3 linked regions of the Caenorhabditis elegans genome follow. The protein of the gene in region 1 interacts with the protein of each later gene in a pairwise test. Each region holds a gene or a part of one and is shown on either strand. Other genes may lie near its edges.

Region 1 (5,880 bases):
ATTTTTCTAGAAAAAAAAAACAAAAGCACTGTAGTGTGAATTTGTTCGTGACGGTGTTTCTTACAAAAATGTGCATATTTGCGGCAAATTTTGTGTTTTCAGATATTTTTAAGAATTTGAAAACTATTGGCACTTATCAGTTACTATCAATATTAATATCTGATCTAAAAGATTCATGTGACAGACAACGAGGACAAGGAATTTTTGAAAATTGGCCAGAAACGAGTTCAACAAGCTTGAAGATAAGCAACTATAGTACTCAATTCGGCATTTTCTTTGTTAAAAACCTCATGACTATGTACGAAATGCGTGCACTCCTATGAGTGTGGAGACAATATCGATGGAAAATGATATCAATGAATGAAAAAGCACTTCTACTTTCCAAAAGATCAAGAACAACTGGATCGCTAAATAGGTTTGATGATTGATATTAAAACCTGGTCCAAAAAATTACGTTAAACTTAGGCAACTTATCTTAAATACAGCTTCCCATTATCAACGGAACAACCAGTCATTGGTCATGAGACAATTCCACCTACACAATCACAAATAATAGTTTGAATATGGCAACACAATCGTACACAATTATGATTACAGACATCGTACATTTATATGTCAAAAACGGCAATACATACAAAACATTGGGAGGGATGCAAAAAAATAAATGGGATATACTTTTTGATCAACTGGGATGTAGGTATCTACAAATTTTTTCTTCTCGCGAAGATCATCCGTAACCATTAATTTCTAAAGCGAAAACATGGGCTCAATTACAATAAATAGTGGTAAATCGGGGGTTGGAAAGGGGTGAAATACGAGGTGAAAAAGTGGGTATGGGAGAAAATAAAACGAGTATCATACATAGACTCAGTAGATAAACTCAATACATTAGTTATAAAGGTCGTCATCATCCTGAGCAGGTACAGGGGCAGATGGGGCATCGCTTCCGCGTTGTTCTCCTGGGAATTTGAAGTTGTTTCCAAAGCCACGAGATTGTTGCAATGTTTGTGCAAACATTTCGTACCTACAAACATATTTTATAGACATACAATAAAACCATTATCAAAACTCACTTTCTGATGTCATTGTCTGTAACAGAGCGTCTGGCAAACTTCATGGCTTCCTCGAAGTGAGCACGAGTAATTTCTGGTACTGGATCAACTGCATCGTCTTCCATGAGCTCCTCACCGCGAGCTTGGCGATCTTGACGTTCCTTCTCAATCCGAATTTCCTTTTCGATCGATTCGCGAATAGCCAGCTTACACGCTCTGAAAATGTCATCGTTCACACCAGGAAAAATAGAATATCGGGGCCTTAGCGCGACTTTAGATACTCTAACTATTATAATTTACTGTGAGACGATTTTTTATATAGCACAAATATGACACTCGCGTAACCATGAACACAAAACTTGGCAGAATCTGAACTGCAAAACGCAGCTAAGAAGAGCCAAGAATGTGTAGATTTCGCAAGTTCTTAAGTTGTGCGTTTTGAACAAATTTTCAAATAATTAAATTACTCACCTCTGACAAATTTCGGTCAAATCGGCTCCAGAGAATCCAACAGTGTTTTTGGCCAAGAAGGTCAAGTCAAGATCCTTGGAGAGTGGGGTTTTACGAAGAGAAGCTTTCAAAATTTGGTGCCGAGAAGCTTCGTCTGGGAGTGGGATGTAGATAAGCTGATCAAGGCGACCTGGACGAAGAACAGCTGGATCAATGATATCAGGTCTGTTTGTAGCTCCGATGATGAACACATTTTTCTTCGCGTTCATTCCATCCATTTCGGTGAGCACTTGATTGATTACACGATCCGATGCACCTCCTCCATCACCGCCGGCGCCTCCACCTCTTGCCTTGGCAATCGAATCCAACTCATCGAAGAACAACACGCAAGGAGCAGCTGCACGAGCCTTGTCGAAGACATCACGGACGTTAGCTTCCGATTCTCCGAACCACATTGTGAGCAATTCTGGACCCTTGATGGAGATGAAATTGGCTTGACACTCGTTGGCAATTGCCTTGGCAAGAAGTGTCTTACCACATCCTGGTGGCCCATAGAACAAAACTCCTCTTGATGGCTGCATTCCAAACTTGAGATATTTTTCTGGGTGTTCCACTGGATACTGAACCAATTCTTGAAGTTCGCGCTTGACGTTTTGAAGACCTCCAATGTCGGACCAAGTTGTATTCGGAGTTTCGACAACAGCCTCGCGGAGAGCGGATGGGGAAGACTTTCCTTGAGCAAAACGGAAGTTTTCCATTGTGACAGCGAGTGAATTAAGAACCTCTGCATCAATTTGGTCATCTTCGAGATCAATGAGCTCCATCTTTTCACGAATCTGTTGAAGAGCGGCTTCCGAGCACAACGATGCCAAATCGGCACCAACGAATCCGTGACATTCATTTGCAATTTGTTCAAGATCAACATCATCCGCGAGCTTCATGTTTTTCGTGTGAATGCGCAGAATCTCAAGCCGGCCGACTGCATCTGGAATTCCGATATCGATTTCACGATCGAATCTTCCGAAGCGACGAAGAGCACCGTCAATCGAGTTTGGACGATTTGTTGCAGCAATGACCACAAGGTTAGAACGACCCTAAAATAATTATTATTATCGAATCATATAAAATTTAAAAGCATACCTTGACTCCATCCATAAGTGTAAGCAATTGAGAAACAATTCTGCGCTCAACTTCTCCATTGGTCTTCTCGCGTTTTGGTGCAATGGCGTCAATTTCGTCAATAAACAGAATAGCTGGTTGATTCTTCTCGCATTCTTCGAAAGCCTTACGAAGATTTGACTCGGATTCTCCAGACATCTTTGACATTACTTCAGGTCCGTTGATAAGGAAGAAGAAAGATCCGGTTTCATTAGCAACAGCACGTGCAATAAGAGTCTTTCCTGTGCCAGGTGGACCGAAGAGAAGAATTCCACGTGGTGGCTTGATACCAATAGCCTTGAAAAGTTGGGGATGTCGAAGTGGCAGTTCAACCATTTCCTTGATCTGAGCCAATTGCTTCCGAACTCCTCCCAAGTCATCATAACCAATATCATTCATGCTCTCTTCTTCTTCTTCTCTCTTGATCGGATCTCCTTCGTAGTGAATCATGGTATCAGGTGACACAATGCAGGCTGGAGCTGGCTCAGTTTCGACAACTTTGAATTCCACAGTTCTCATGGCAGCTTGAACAGTGAATATATCTCCCTTGTGAAGTGGGCGGTAAGCCTCCAGGAAGTATGGCTTGAGGAAAACATCGAACAAGTTTCCAGTGAGTCCTTCGATAGTGTCATCAATAGGGAGCACGTGAATGCGGGTTCCGTAACTGAGATTTGGAGCTGGCGTAATGCTCACGACGTCTCCGAGGCGAATACGAAGATTGTTGCGGACAACACGGTTCATGCGAACTTTCTCGTTTGGACAGGACTCATCAGAGACAATGATGGCGACAGATTCCTTTCGCTTCTTTCCCTGCAAAAATAATCATTAGAATCGAAAAATAAAATTTAATTGTGTGACAACCGTTTAAAAATCGAGATCAGCACCTTTGCGTGGTGTTAGGATTACGAAATACTTTGAAACGATTCGTTACTTGATCTATATCGCACAACTATGACACTCATAAAACCATCAGCAAATAAACAGTACTAGCTTCAAAACAGAACGTTTTTCAGCCTATATTGTAAATCACAGACATTACAAGTTCTTAAATTGTGCGTTTTAATCAAAAATTAAAAAGAAACACATACCTTCAGGATGACAGCATCTCCACGGAAAAGTCCCAGTTCGTCCATTTTAGCTTGGGAAACTGCGATGACGGAATTATCATCCTGCTCGGACTGATCGACGATCAAGCGATTCGGCTTTACCTTGTCCTTGAGAATAGCTGTCGACAGCTCATCATTTTTCTTCTCTTTTTCGCTTTGATGCGTTGGAACCGAGGCCATTATGTACAATTTAAGACCTAAAATAAGAAGAATGAGTGTCCAAAATGATAGTGGGAACGAAACTATAAAAGAAAATTGAGATTTTAAAAAAGTTCACGAAATTATTTCTAAAAACGACACAGATTTGAAAATTGTCATCATCCACGCATATAGAAGCGTGTTTTCAACAAGTGTACGCAAAAAGTGTTTGGTGATTCTGACGTTAGGGCGCGGTTGCTTTATAATTTTAGCGCGAAGTTTGAAAAGGATTTTCACTGTTCAAAAAATTTTAAAATTTCTAAATAACGAGACGTATTTGTAAATATTTGCGATGAAAAGCGTTGAAACTTCAAAAAAGTTCTTTGAAAACGGAAACGCAGTTTACAATTTTTTGAAATTTTTCGGAAAAAAGGAACTAGTAAATAAAATCTACCGTTTGCACGTTTGCGGTAATGTATGTAGCTGGGTCCAGGATGAAAATATGAAAAGGAAAAAAAGTGGACTGTAATGTAATGCTGGTTTGGAAAAATAACTGTTATTTGCAATAACGCACATCAGCGTTTGGGTCTCGAAACGATATGCCGTTAGTAAATGCAGCACTTTGTAGATCGATAAAAATGATTTGCAGCATCACCCGATCGATAGACGGAGAACGAAGAGATGTGAAACGAGACGAGAGGAGAATAGTCTTAAGATTTTGATTCTTGATAGTTTCCCAGATCTATGAATTTAATAAGTTGAATAATTTCCAAATTATTTATTCCCGATCGAGAATTAGAATAAATTAAACAAATAGATTAATGGATTAACATTTGCCATTGGATGGTCTTCTTTTGATTCCAAGAGCACGATTAGCTTCATCAATTTGAAGTTTTTGAAGGGAACGACGTTTACGACCTCCACCTCCACATCCACAGCATCCGCATCCGCAACCACATCCACAACAGCATGGTCTACAGCAGGTACAACATCTAGTACAGCAACAAGTTCTACAACAAGTACAACAACATTTGGGTCTACAACAGCAGCAGCATCTTGGTCTGCAACAGCAACATCCACATCCACCACCACCTCCTCCACATCCACAACATCCACAACATCCTCCATTTCTTTTAACACGAGAAGATCCGATAATTGATGTTTCAGATGAAATTATAGATATTTCTGTTGTTGATACTGGCAAAACTCCTGATTCAACCTATAAGTTTCTTAAATACGAGAACTAAATCTATTAATCTAACCTGTGAAATCGATACAATTGTATAAATCAGTACAACTAATGTAGATCCAATTATGAATTTGGTCATTTTGATCGAATAGAAACTGATGAATATCTCAATTTTATGGTGCTTTTATATAACTTTTCCATGATCCAAAGTGTCTTAGTTTTTGTGTTCAATTTCCATGACGCGGCTCGCGCGGAGAGATCACAAAAAATGGTTTCCGGCAAAAGTGTCAAATGAGAGACGACAAACACGTAAGAAGAAGAGGGTATTTAATGGATGGAAATTCGAAAACCATATCGAACGCTAATAATCTGAAATGAATAAGATCGTACTTCTGACTCTCTTTGCCCTTATTGCTATTTCACAGGTATCGGTAAAGGTTCTAAATGTTAGAAAACACAATACTATTATAGGTTGAATCAGGAGTTTTGCCAGTATCAACAACAGAAATATCTATAATTTCATCTGAAACATCAATTATCGGATCTTCTCGTGTTAAAAGAAATGGAGGATGTTGTGGATGTTGTGGATGTGGAGGAGGTGGTGGTGGATGTGGATGTTGCTGCTGCAGACCAAGATGCTGCTGCTGTTGTAGACCCAAATGTTGTTGTACTTGTTGTAGAACTTGTTGCTGTACTAGATGTTGTACCTGCTGTAGACCATGCTGTTGTGGATGTGGTTGCGGATGCGGATGCTGTGGATGTGGAGGTGGAGGCCGTAAGCGTCGTT
Region 2 (5,541 bases), 620 kb from region 1:
TTATTTGGAAAATCGAGCCCGTAAATCGACACAGGCGCTACAGTAGCCATTTAAAGAATTACTGTAGTTTTCGCTACGAGGAGAATATAATTTTTTGATTTTTTTTAACTACAAGTTCCAATATTTTTAAACAGTAATCTTACCTAAATATGTTTTATCATCATGAGTCGGCCCAACACCACCACTTGTGATCACATAGTCGTATGCCCCAGAGGCAGACTGAACTTCGCGAGAAATTTCAGAAATATCATCTCCAATTACAGAAATCTGAAAATGACTTCACAATTCCTTCATGTTTTTCCTCCAACTTCACTTACTTTCCTAATGTTTACACCTAATTTATGCAATCTTTTGCATAGAAAATGGGAATTTGTATCTCTTGTTGTCCCCTTCAGAATCTCATCGCCGATCACCAGAATCGCTGCGGTTTTCCGTTGTGGCATCCGTGGAGTTCTGAACATTGCGCGCATCTTTTGAAAAGTATAATGTGAAAAACGGAGAATATCTTTTAGAAGTATAAGCTTGAAAAATTCTACACAATTCAACTGAGCTGCGATAATTGTTGTGGTAAAATATCCATTGAACCGGTAAAAAGAAAGACATCAAGAACATGTTCATATTGATTGATAAGGAAACTTTCAGGCTAGCATGTAGTCTTTTACATAACATGAATAGAGAAAGAACAAATAAATTAGATCGGGCTGAAATTCTAGTACAATCGGGCTGTGAAAAATAAATGGTTTTACCGGAAAAAAAATACAAGCACTGGACAATTTATATACAAATAAAATTGAACCGGTCTTTTAGAACACTTTTCATACAGCATAAGTCATTTCCACAATATCACGAGCAATATTTTTTCCCGAGTCGTTCGAAACTGCATCCTTGAGACGAGCGGCAATTTGGGCAATGTTACGATTTTTGGCAAGCTGGAAAATATTGCGTTTACAATGTTTGTTATTTCTAGAAAACTCACTCGAATAACTGAGGCATCTCCCCACATGACTGTAACTAATGCTTGAAGCAGACGAATGATGGCGTCTTCACCCAAATATCCGAATGAGTCGACGCTTTCGATTCCCTTAAAAATAGAAGATATTGTTAAATTCTCGAATCTGAAGAATTACGTTCAAAATGGCTCTCAATAAGTCTTCCTTGGGTCCCAGCTGTTCGCATTGCTCGGATTGTTGCAATAAAGCAAGAGACCAGTTGGCAAGAGCTGTAGCAGCAGACATTTGGAGAACCGTCTTTTCATTAAGAACTTGACGAACAACCAGTGGGGCTAGAGTAGAGAGCTCGGTGGAAGCAAACAGGTTGCGACCGACTGGATGCGAAAATGCATTTGCGATGCATCTGTAAATAAATTACAACGATTATATCTTGACGAAAATATATATTTGTTCTTACCTACAAACCAGAACCTTCAAAGCCACATCAGCCGGATCTGACACAAGAATAGCAATTAATCTTCCGACAAGTTCCTGACCACGTTCACGATCACAGAAATACGAATTCAGTGAATGATGAGTTAGTGCGATTCTCAGAAAATCAAGAACTGGCGTCAAGTGCTCCACTGGCCATTGTAGAGACATTTCGAATGCAGACTGCGTGACTTCTGATGAATAATTCGAAGAGGTTGGGAGAACAAAAAGTTCCTCAAGGCCATTAATCTGATCAGGATTCAATTGGAATGCATCCTGCTTTTCATTTAGCTCTTTCAGTTTTGCAATTGCTTTCTCGCCTTTTCCAGCAAGCCCAATCTGAATACATTGAATTAAGTATGTTGAATTTTGAGGAGAAGAATTAGAAAACGTACAATGTAAAAATCAGGAACTGGAACCAATGGTCCACGTGGTTTCTTCTTGTTTTGTGGAAGAGATGATAGAGGAACGGCATGACTTCCAGTATTTTCAGGTGCGGACGCACGATATCCACCGTCTCCGGTAAGAGGATCACCAGAAAAACCAGTGTCAAAGCCACTCGAGTTTGATGCTTGAGGTACGTATCTTCCGGATCCGGTGAAAGGATCTGCACCGTGACCGCCAGAATTCGACGAACCTGGAATTCAAATATTGAAATTGTGGAGTTATTGATTTCTTTATTTCAATGAACCTTGAGGTACATATCTTCCTGGTCCAGTAAACGGATCCTCATATCCAGACTGAGCAGAAGCAGCTCCTTTCGACAACTTGTCCATCTCCTGACTGATCATTCCAGCAAGAGAAGGGATAACGCTCACAGGAAGTTGATGTCTCTCCACAAAGCGTTGAGCAGCAAACTGAGGGCTCTCATTCACGTTGAATGGCATTTGCTTGTCCGGCTCGCCTTTTCCAAAATTAACACCTAATGCGTAATCGTACTCTTTTCCGTCGACTATAACTTTTTTGCCAGATTTCAAGTCAAATGCCCGAGCTTCTGGAATACGGTCCTGAAATAAATGAAAATCAACATTGAAACATATTAATGGAAAAAGCAAACCTTGATGAATCTAGTAATCTCCTCCAGATAGTGAATTGGCAAATTATTCTCACTCAAAAACTCTTGAGCACAAAGACCCGGATCTGTTCCCTTTTTGTATTTGAGATTTAGTTGAGTCGGTCGATCGTCTATGTCAACTTTGATAGTGACAGTTTCATGCTCTTCTTGCTTCATCCTTTCCGTCTTCGCAGTAAGCTTTGCGACAACTTCTGCATCAAATGCATCTAAGATATCATCGTCAGCTTTTCTATTCTTATCAGTGGTCATGATATAGATCCGTCCATCACTTCCAGCCACAGCGATATCGGAATTTAATAAAACTTTAGCATCCCAAGTGTTCGTAGTTGGTAATTGAATAACTGCTTCAGAAACAATTGCCAAATTTCCATCTTTGCCTCCATCTATTGCCCAAAATTCAAGTGTTCCGTCTTCACCAGTTGTTAATATGTGGGAATCGCTCAATGTCATACTATAAATGAATTCATGTGCCTGAGTTGCAAATTTTCTGAGAATCGACGCTGATGCAACATCCCAATGAATGATATGTCCATCGTTTCCAGCAGATAAAAAGTGAGAGCTTGATAATACGACGAGAGCTCGCACGACATCAGTATGGCCTTTGAAAACTGAGAGAGTGGTATCTCCAAACCACATACGAATTGTTTTATCAGCACTGGCAGATAGATAAGTGTTGGGAAGATCCGGGAAAGAAGCGAGAGCCCACACAGACAAGGTATGGCCTGGACAAACAATAGTCTGGAACTAATTTAACTTTAAAATCCAGTAAAAAACGATTAAAAATATATTACAGTGAATGACGACGAGTTCAACTCGGTAATCGGCCAGATGATGACGTTGGAATCCCACGAACCACTCAGCATGTGAGTCGCTTTTTCGTTAATGTGAAGACAGCAAACTGAAATTATTCATTTTGCACTTTTGAATATTTTTTAAAGCAAAAATACCATTCTGTTTATGCTCATTGAAAATTGCATATGGTTCCGCCTGACTCGGGCCAAAAACTGCAATTGTTCCATCTCTTCGGCCAACAAAAAGTCTCCATCCGTCCGCTAGTTCAGCGTATGCAATGGAGTTCACAGTTATTCCTTTCGGTTGTTCAAAGGCGTGCGTTTTCGTATACTGTTTTCCTTTTTTTGCCCAAAATTTAACCGTCTCATCACGACCACCCGATATCAAGCATCCGCCTTGAGTAACTGCCAAAGCCTTTGTGTCGGATTTGTGGGCTTCAATAACATGGGAAATTGTGTACTGTGGCATCTGCAAAATAAATTCCACTTCAATTCGGCAAATTCTAAAACTCACACTTTCCGTTTCCATTGGCACGTCACCGAGACCGTCATCTGCCATTATCTGAAGAATAGCTTTTAATTAAAGTTAATCAACAAAAAAATATAACGAAATTGAGAAAAATCCGAAAAAGTTTTGATGACAAACTGCAAACGATGCTCCGAACTAACGCCACATGGAAGAGGATTTCTACGACCCCGCAGTAGGCAAATTTGCGGGAATTCAAAATTTAACACTGATAGGATGCAATTTTTTGGAGAAGGGCATTCAGATTCGCTTAAATAAATATTTGAAGTTTCACAGAACATCAAGACTTTGCAAAGAGTGTTAAAAATTCAATAATTAAAAATAAATAATACTTTTATCGGCAAACTTTTTTTAATTTAGTAGGTTTTTTGAGAGCGAAATTTACATCGCACTAGATAGTCTCGAAACAGGAGTGATACCTTTTTAATTCTTCAAAAAAAAAACAAGAAAGGAACCGAGTTTGATAGACAATTGATTTATTTTTGTCCTACGCAAGTATAAATGGGGAAACGGTGTTGGTTCATTATAAAACAACATAAAAACGCTAAAACAGCGATACCAATAGACTACAAACATTAAACGAAAGTTATTATTGCACACAACTAATCAATGAGTGGGGTGGATTCAAGAAGATTGATTATATTAAGGAATTATAGGTATATCACAATTATGACTCATGGCAACAATAAGGTTTAGTAAATTTTTTAAAGATAAAAATGCGATCTCAACTGGAAAAATGTGGATAAAACGTTGAGGGGCAGCAATTTCAGTCCTGGGAATCATGTAGACAGATTGCCGACCTGTCTGAAGATTGATTTACCGCTATCCGGAAGTCGTCCCATTCGCTGCAGAATGATGTACTCGTCGGCTGCTGGAAGTGTATCCTCCGTTGGCATTTCGTCGAATGGCCCAAGATACCGGGTTTGCGATCTGAAAATTTTAATATTTAAATTGAGCCTAAAAACAGCTAGAAAATCCAAACTCACTTGGCAAAGAACTCTCCAGGTGTCAGAAGACCACGGAAGAAGCGATTGAAGTCCTTTGGAATCGCACGAACTCCTGGCAATTGTGTCGGGGAGAGTGCTCGACGACGTGGCTGCCCATTGTCGATATTTCCTGCACGCATATTCTCTTGATTTATGCGATTTGCAGCGTCTTGTGCTGGTCTTCTGGCGTCATTGGCGTTCAATTGCCGCAATGGACGCCGCTCTGGAAGTCGAATCGGAGCCACACGGTTGACACGTGGCGGCGGTGTCCGTCTGATCGCTCTTCTGACGTCTGGTGATGGTTCACGTGGTGGCGGGCTTTGCGATCTTCTGCGGTCAAGCCTGAATAATCTTATTATAGAAACAATTATATAACATTTTGGGACAAACAATTCTCTCCATCCCTTTTCGCTGAGCTCCGAGGCTCTGGTCCATCCACTGGGGAAGATTTGGAATGGATCTGCAGGCGGGGGACACAGAATATCAGCTTCTACCTGAAAATATAAATATTGTAAACGAATTTTAATTCAAGAACTCACAGCACGCAACTGGTCCCAGCGATTTCCATGAAAATGCTCCATAATTAGTGTGTGAAATAGGTGAGAGGGAGAAAAAATGGGTCTGTGGAATGAATGACAAGCGAAAATTTAAATGAAAAAATCAGAATTTTCCCGCGCATAATTTTAATTTTCGACTGATACACTTTCATCGGTAAAATAGAGGCAGATCAATAAAATAAGTA
Region 3 (4,256 bases), on another chromosome or scaffold:
TCGACATTCTGAATTCCGACATCTCTGTCATCAACTGCGCTGTTCATCTCCTTGAACACGTCTAAATCAATTTCAATCCTCTGTGTACTACTCGCTGTGCTCTTTTCGTCAGTTGTGACAGGTACCTCTTCCGAAATCGATTCTGAATTCGAATCGCTGTCGTCCGAGCTGTCATCCTCGACATTTTCAATATGAAAAGCGTCAGCTGACGCGTTTTCCGGCATATTTCGATTGGCTTCTTCCATTTGAGGCAGGAACGATTGTAATCTTAAATTTCGAATTAATTTTTCTTAAAAATTAAATAATTGCTTCAAAGTAACCTGGTTAATAAAGAAGATGGCCCGACAGGTGCGATGATGGGTTTTCCATTTAAAAAATTGGAGATCGTGGGATCCTGTGACATCTGAAAATGGTTTTTGGAGAAGCACAACTGAAAAAAGATGCAGTGGGCGGAATTTCGGCTTCTTCTTGATAGAGTGAATAATTTTCAAAATAAAAATCGATATACAACGAATAGAGAAACAGTTAAAGTGCGGTTCTGTACAAAATCTTTAATATGCTGCTCGAATCTTTTTGCATCTTATAAGTTAAATACAACGAAAGCGATTAGGCGAAATAAAACATCAGCAGTACCGGAAAAAAATAATGACAAACATATCACACTAATAGCCGGGAATTATATTTTTAAATTATACAAAAATTAGTCGGAAGCTTCAAGCTCCTGGATAATTTCGATATGCTCATCGGCAACGATTTGTCCATAATCAGACAGGTTTTCAGCGAAGACGACATGAAGAAGAGCAGCTGGAGCAAGACTGAGTTGAGCCAACGATGCAGATTCATCCTCCACGAGTTGACTGGCAGCGTCACGAAGAGTGAATTCGGATGTCGAAAGAGCATCGGAAAGAGTTGAAGCAACGAAGACACGGACTGCGGAAAATGGTTCATGGCAACCAAATACTCCCTGGAAAAATAAAATAAAATAATTAATCACTTGAATTTCTGGAATATACATACCTGCATCAACAAATTTCCAGGCAATCTGACACGAATCAACGTATATTTGTAGCGATAATTGGTCATTTGTTCGTCTTTTTGTCTCATTTCCTTCGTACGCAATGTCAGCATCTAAAAATTCAATTTATTGTGTGATTTTTCAATTTAAAGCTCCACTCACTCTCTCCACCTGCATCTCCTTATTTCTCTGTTCGGCTTTGAGTTCAGCAGTCGACAAATTGTAAAAATCATCTGCCAACTTTGGTGCTTTCGGTTTTTGCCCCTCTTTTAGCTTGAAGATCTCTAGATTTCTAGCAACCTTTATAGGCACAGCCTGCCCATCCTTCAAAGCTTCCAGAGCCTCCACCAAATGAACATCTGATGGTTTTGTGAACACAAGGAACTTGTCTTCTCCTTCAGATTTCTCAGTAAATCCAACAGCTTCAAGGAATGCACGTCCTCCAACTACTGATGCAACTCGTTCTTGGAATGCCTTATTTCCCAAACGAATTGATTTGTATTTATCCTCTCCTGGGTGTTCCAAAATGTTTTGACAATACTTGCAGATTGTTTCGATGGCAGTCTGAAATTTAGAAGATTGTTTGTTTTTCTACCAAAACAACGAATTTCGTACAGTTTAGGTGAAACGACCGATTCGCAGATTTACAAAAATCCGTGTTGATTTTTTCTTTCTGTGCGACGCTGATTTTTGCGAAATTTGCGGATAGATAGTTTAATTTCAACGGTAATGTGACAAAAATGTCACAAAAACTATGATGGCGGTTCAAAATTTTGAGAAAAAAAAAACGGGCAAATTTTAGCGAAACTCTTCAATTTGCCGAAATATTCCGTTAACAAAGTAACTTTTTTAGCCTATTGTTAGCTAAAAATGATCAAATTGGCTAAATAACGAAATAACGTTATTATAACATGTGAGAAACTATTACAATAGATTAAAAAACATTTTCCGACCGCTGCAACACACAAAAGTTGACAAAATTGGAGATTTTAGCCAGAATGAGTTCATTTTTTTTCGATATTTTGAAATTCTGAGCATACACAAACCTCCTTGGGATGTTTCTTATTAAGTGAATAGAGCATCAAAACTGCGGCAATCACTTTATCGTTTTCATCATCCGCCTCGCTGATCTGATCAGAAAGGAAATTTTTGATATCTTCAAGAAGATCTGCTTTCGAGCGAATATGATGCTCACCGAGCAACTCGGAAGTGTAGAGAACACGTGATATTGCGGATGAATGCTCGAGGTGTTGCTCACGGTCGGGTTGCTGCAGTGATGAAGTCCCAGAAATGTTGAGATCTTCAACCTGACGTCTCTCTTCTTCCAGCTCTCGTTTTGCAATCATTTGAATTCTTCGTTTTCCAGCATTTTGTTGAGGTTCATTCTTCTGCATCCGTTTGAAAGCAGCCTGAGCAGCAATATCAGCGGCCGCGACACGATCAATTTGGCCTCCCTGGGCGGCTCCAGCGTGGGCAGAAGGCTGCGAAGATGACTCGCCGGATGACAAACGAACACCTTCACCGCTCTTTTTGAAGTGATTCTGGACTCGCTTTTTGTTGAGGAATTTCTTGAAACTATTCATTCTTCTTTCTCTGAAATAAATTGGAATGGTTATCAGTGCAGAACTTGTTAAATATCTTACTATTTTTTTCGTTGCTCTTATTTCTCGCTTTCTCAATGTTCTCTCTTATGATAAACTCCTGAATGATTGGTGAATATCGATTCCACGCAATGATAGTGCCAACAGAGAAGATGAAAAGTAGAATAGAAAGAAAGAGTCCGAGAGCTACCTGAAATTTTCAAATTTTGGCCATTTTAGACAGAAACAAGAACAATAATTCACGTTAAAATTTCGAAAATCTCAAAAACATGTTCTCTAACGCACTTGTTTTTTATCCAACGAATAATTATCACAGAAGATAATCAAAGCACGATAAACGTTTTCTACTCCGAATGCTTCTGAGGAATCTGGAAGCGCGTCGGAGCTCTGATAAGCAACTGAATTTGTGCTCAACGGAGTCTGCTCAGTTGTCGGCTCGGCGACCAGAGGCTCTCCCATGCAAGAATAGCTGGAATTGTAGTTCTTTTTCAGAGAGATTTGCGGAAATTAATGATTGCGAAATAGGACAGAAGGCGATGACGACATTTGTGATATTGCACGGTGATAAACATATATTTTGGGTTGTATACAAACTTCAAACTTCATTTCAGAAAATTTGAAAAAAAGCTCATCTCGAAAACGCTATAAAAAACTTGGAGTTTTTCTATTGGAGAAAACTAAACTGGGGAAAGCTTTCGGACAGAAAAATATTATCTGCTGTATTTTTCATGATGTCGTTAATTTTGTGACTTAATAAACTACAAAAAAATGTAGGTAAAACACTTTTGCGTGAAAAGTTTGTGATTGTTTTCCCAAAATACGTTTTTGCGGTTAAATGTTCGTTTTGAGATGTTTATCTTACAATTCTTTTATATTTTGGACAATAATTATATTCTATGAAGTAATCTTTGATTCTGAATAACTTTTTTCCGAAAACAATTCGTTAAAACAACAAAATTTTAGAGAGAAAAATAAAAAATAAGCAAAATAAAAAATAAAAATAGCGAGTGTCGTAAATTGTGTCGCCAAGTCCGCAGTTACGTAACCTCGCGCCGCGCTCTTGCGATAGCAAACCCCGCCCACTTTTCTGTGCACTCCACATTTTCGTCGATTTTTCATTGAAATTTTTCTTCTGTTATTTTGTTTATTTTTGTCGATTGACGACATAATTTTAATCTCAAGCGCTGATAAAATTATTATTTCCAATTTTTAGAAATCACTTTTCATCAAAATACTCACGAAATCCAAGCAAACTGTTTATTTTGGGATAGTATACTCATTCTTCTTAATTTTTTGTTAAATTCCATTGAAATCTGACATTACCTTATGCATATTTATGTTCTTGTTTTTTCTACAATTTTTGCAGTCCTCTTTGCTTCTGTATTTCTCGTAACTTCAACTTTCCAAATTATTTCGTAATATTTTCAGCAATGCCGAAGAATAAGGGAAAGGGAGGAAAGAATCGCAGAAGAGGAAAGAATGAGAACGACTTCATGAAGCGCGAGCTCGACCTCAAGGAGGAGGGACAAGGTAGATTTTATAACTTCTTTCCCGAAAAACAAAAGCATTAATTCCAGAATATGGACAAGTCTCAAAAATGCTTGGTAACGGTCGTGTTCAAGTGTTCTGTTTTGATGGAA

The links.
Region 2: the proteins of cdc-48.1 (region 1) and ufd-3 interact in a two-hybrid assay, tested with the Caenorhabditis elegans proteins (one study listed by BioGRID).
Region 3: the proteins of cdc-48.1 (region 1) and ubxn-6 interact in a two-hybrid assay, tested with the Caenorhabditis elegans proteins (one study listed by BioGRID).

Annotation. Positions count from the first base shown.
Region 1 is NC_003280.10:10,559,445-10,565,324, forward strand, and holds cdc-48.1 (Transitional endoplasmic reticulum ATPase homolog 1), read right to left. Parts: upstream 3,964-5,880; 5' UTR 3,947-3,963; coding exon 3,749-3,946; intron 3,621-3,748; exon of another isoform or gene 3,508-3,620; intron 3,471-3,507; coding exon 2,643-3,470; intron 2,597-2,642; coding exon 1,524-2,596; intron 1,491-1,523; exon of another isoform or gene 1,273-1,490; intron 1,269-1,272; coding exon 1,074-1,268; intron 1,025-1,073; coding exon 889-1,024; 3' UTR 587-888; downstream 1-586. Other genes in the region: C06A1.6 (uncharacterized protein), read right to left, coding at 4,731-5,123, 5,167-5,232; C06A1.7 (uncharacterized protein), read left to right, coding at 5,468-5,518, 5,565-5,880. UniProt on the Caenorhabditis elegans protein: ATP-dependent chaperone which probably uses the energy provided by ATP hydrolysis to generate mechanical force to unfold substrate proteins, disassemble protein complexes, and disaggregate protein aggregates.
Region 2 is NC_003280.10:9,939,066-9,944,606, reverse strand, and holds ufd-3 (Ubiquitin fusion degradation protein 3 homolog), read right to left. Parts: upstream 3,850-5,541; 5' UTR 3,847-3,849; coding exon 3,802-3,846; intron 3,757-3,801; coding exon 3,444-3,756; intron 3,395-3,443; coding exon 3,288-3,394; intron 3,241-3,287; coding exon 2,479-3,240; intron 2,429-2,478; coding exon 2,113-2,428; intron 2,059-2,112; coding exon 1,817-2,058; intron 1,761-1,816; coding exon 1,408-1,760; intron 1,354-1,407; coding exon 1,128-1,353; intron 1,082-1,127; coding exon 977-1,081; intron 930-976; coding exon 816-929; 3' UTR 601-815; downstream 1-600. Other genes in the region: flad-1 (Molybdenum cofactor biosynthesis protein-like region), read right to left, coding at 144-267, 318-470; C05C10.5 (uncharacterized protein), read right to left, coding at 4,593-4,743, 4,800-5,141, 5,190-5,293, 5,339-5,380. UniProt on the Caenorhabditis elegans protein: Plays a role in protein ubiquitination, sorting and degradation through its association with cdc-48.1 and/or cdc-48.2.
Region 3 is NC_003282.8:4,806,890-4,811,145, forward strand, and holds ubxn-6 (UBX domain-containing protein 6), read right to left. Parts: upstream 2,599-4,256; coding exon 2,062-2,598; exon of another isoform or gene 1,580-2,061; coding exon 1,178-1,579; intron 1,129-1,177; coding exon 1,018-1,128; intron 965-1,017; coding exon 701-964; 3' UTR 537-700; downstream 1-536. Other genes in the region: H06H21.11 (uncharacterized protein), read right to left, coding at 1-267, 321-403; H06H21.37 (uncharacterized protein), read right to left, coding at 2,595-2,608, 2,659-2,806, 2,902-3,075; eif-1.A (Eukaryotic translation initiation factor 4C), read left to right, coding at 4,047-4,146, 4,194-4,256. UniProt on the Caenorhabditis elegans protein: Probably acts as an adapter for ATPase cdc-48.1 and/or cdc-48.2, conferring substrate specificity. Involved in the lysosomal clearance of cellular material in diet restricted conditions.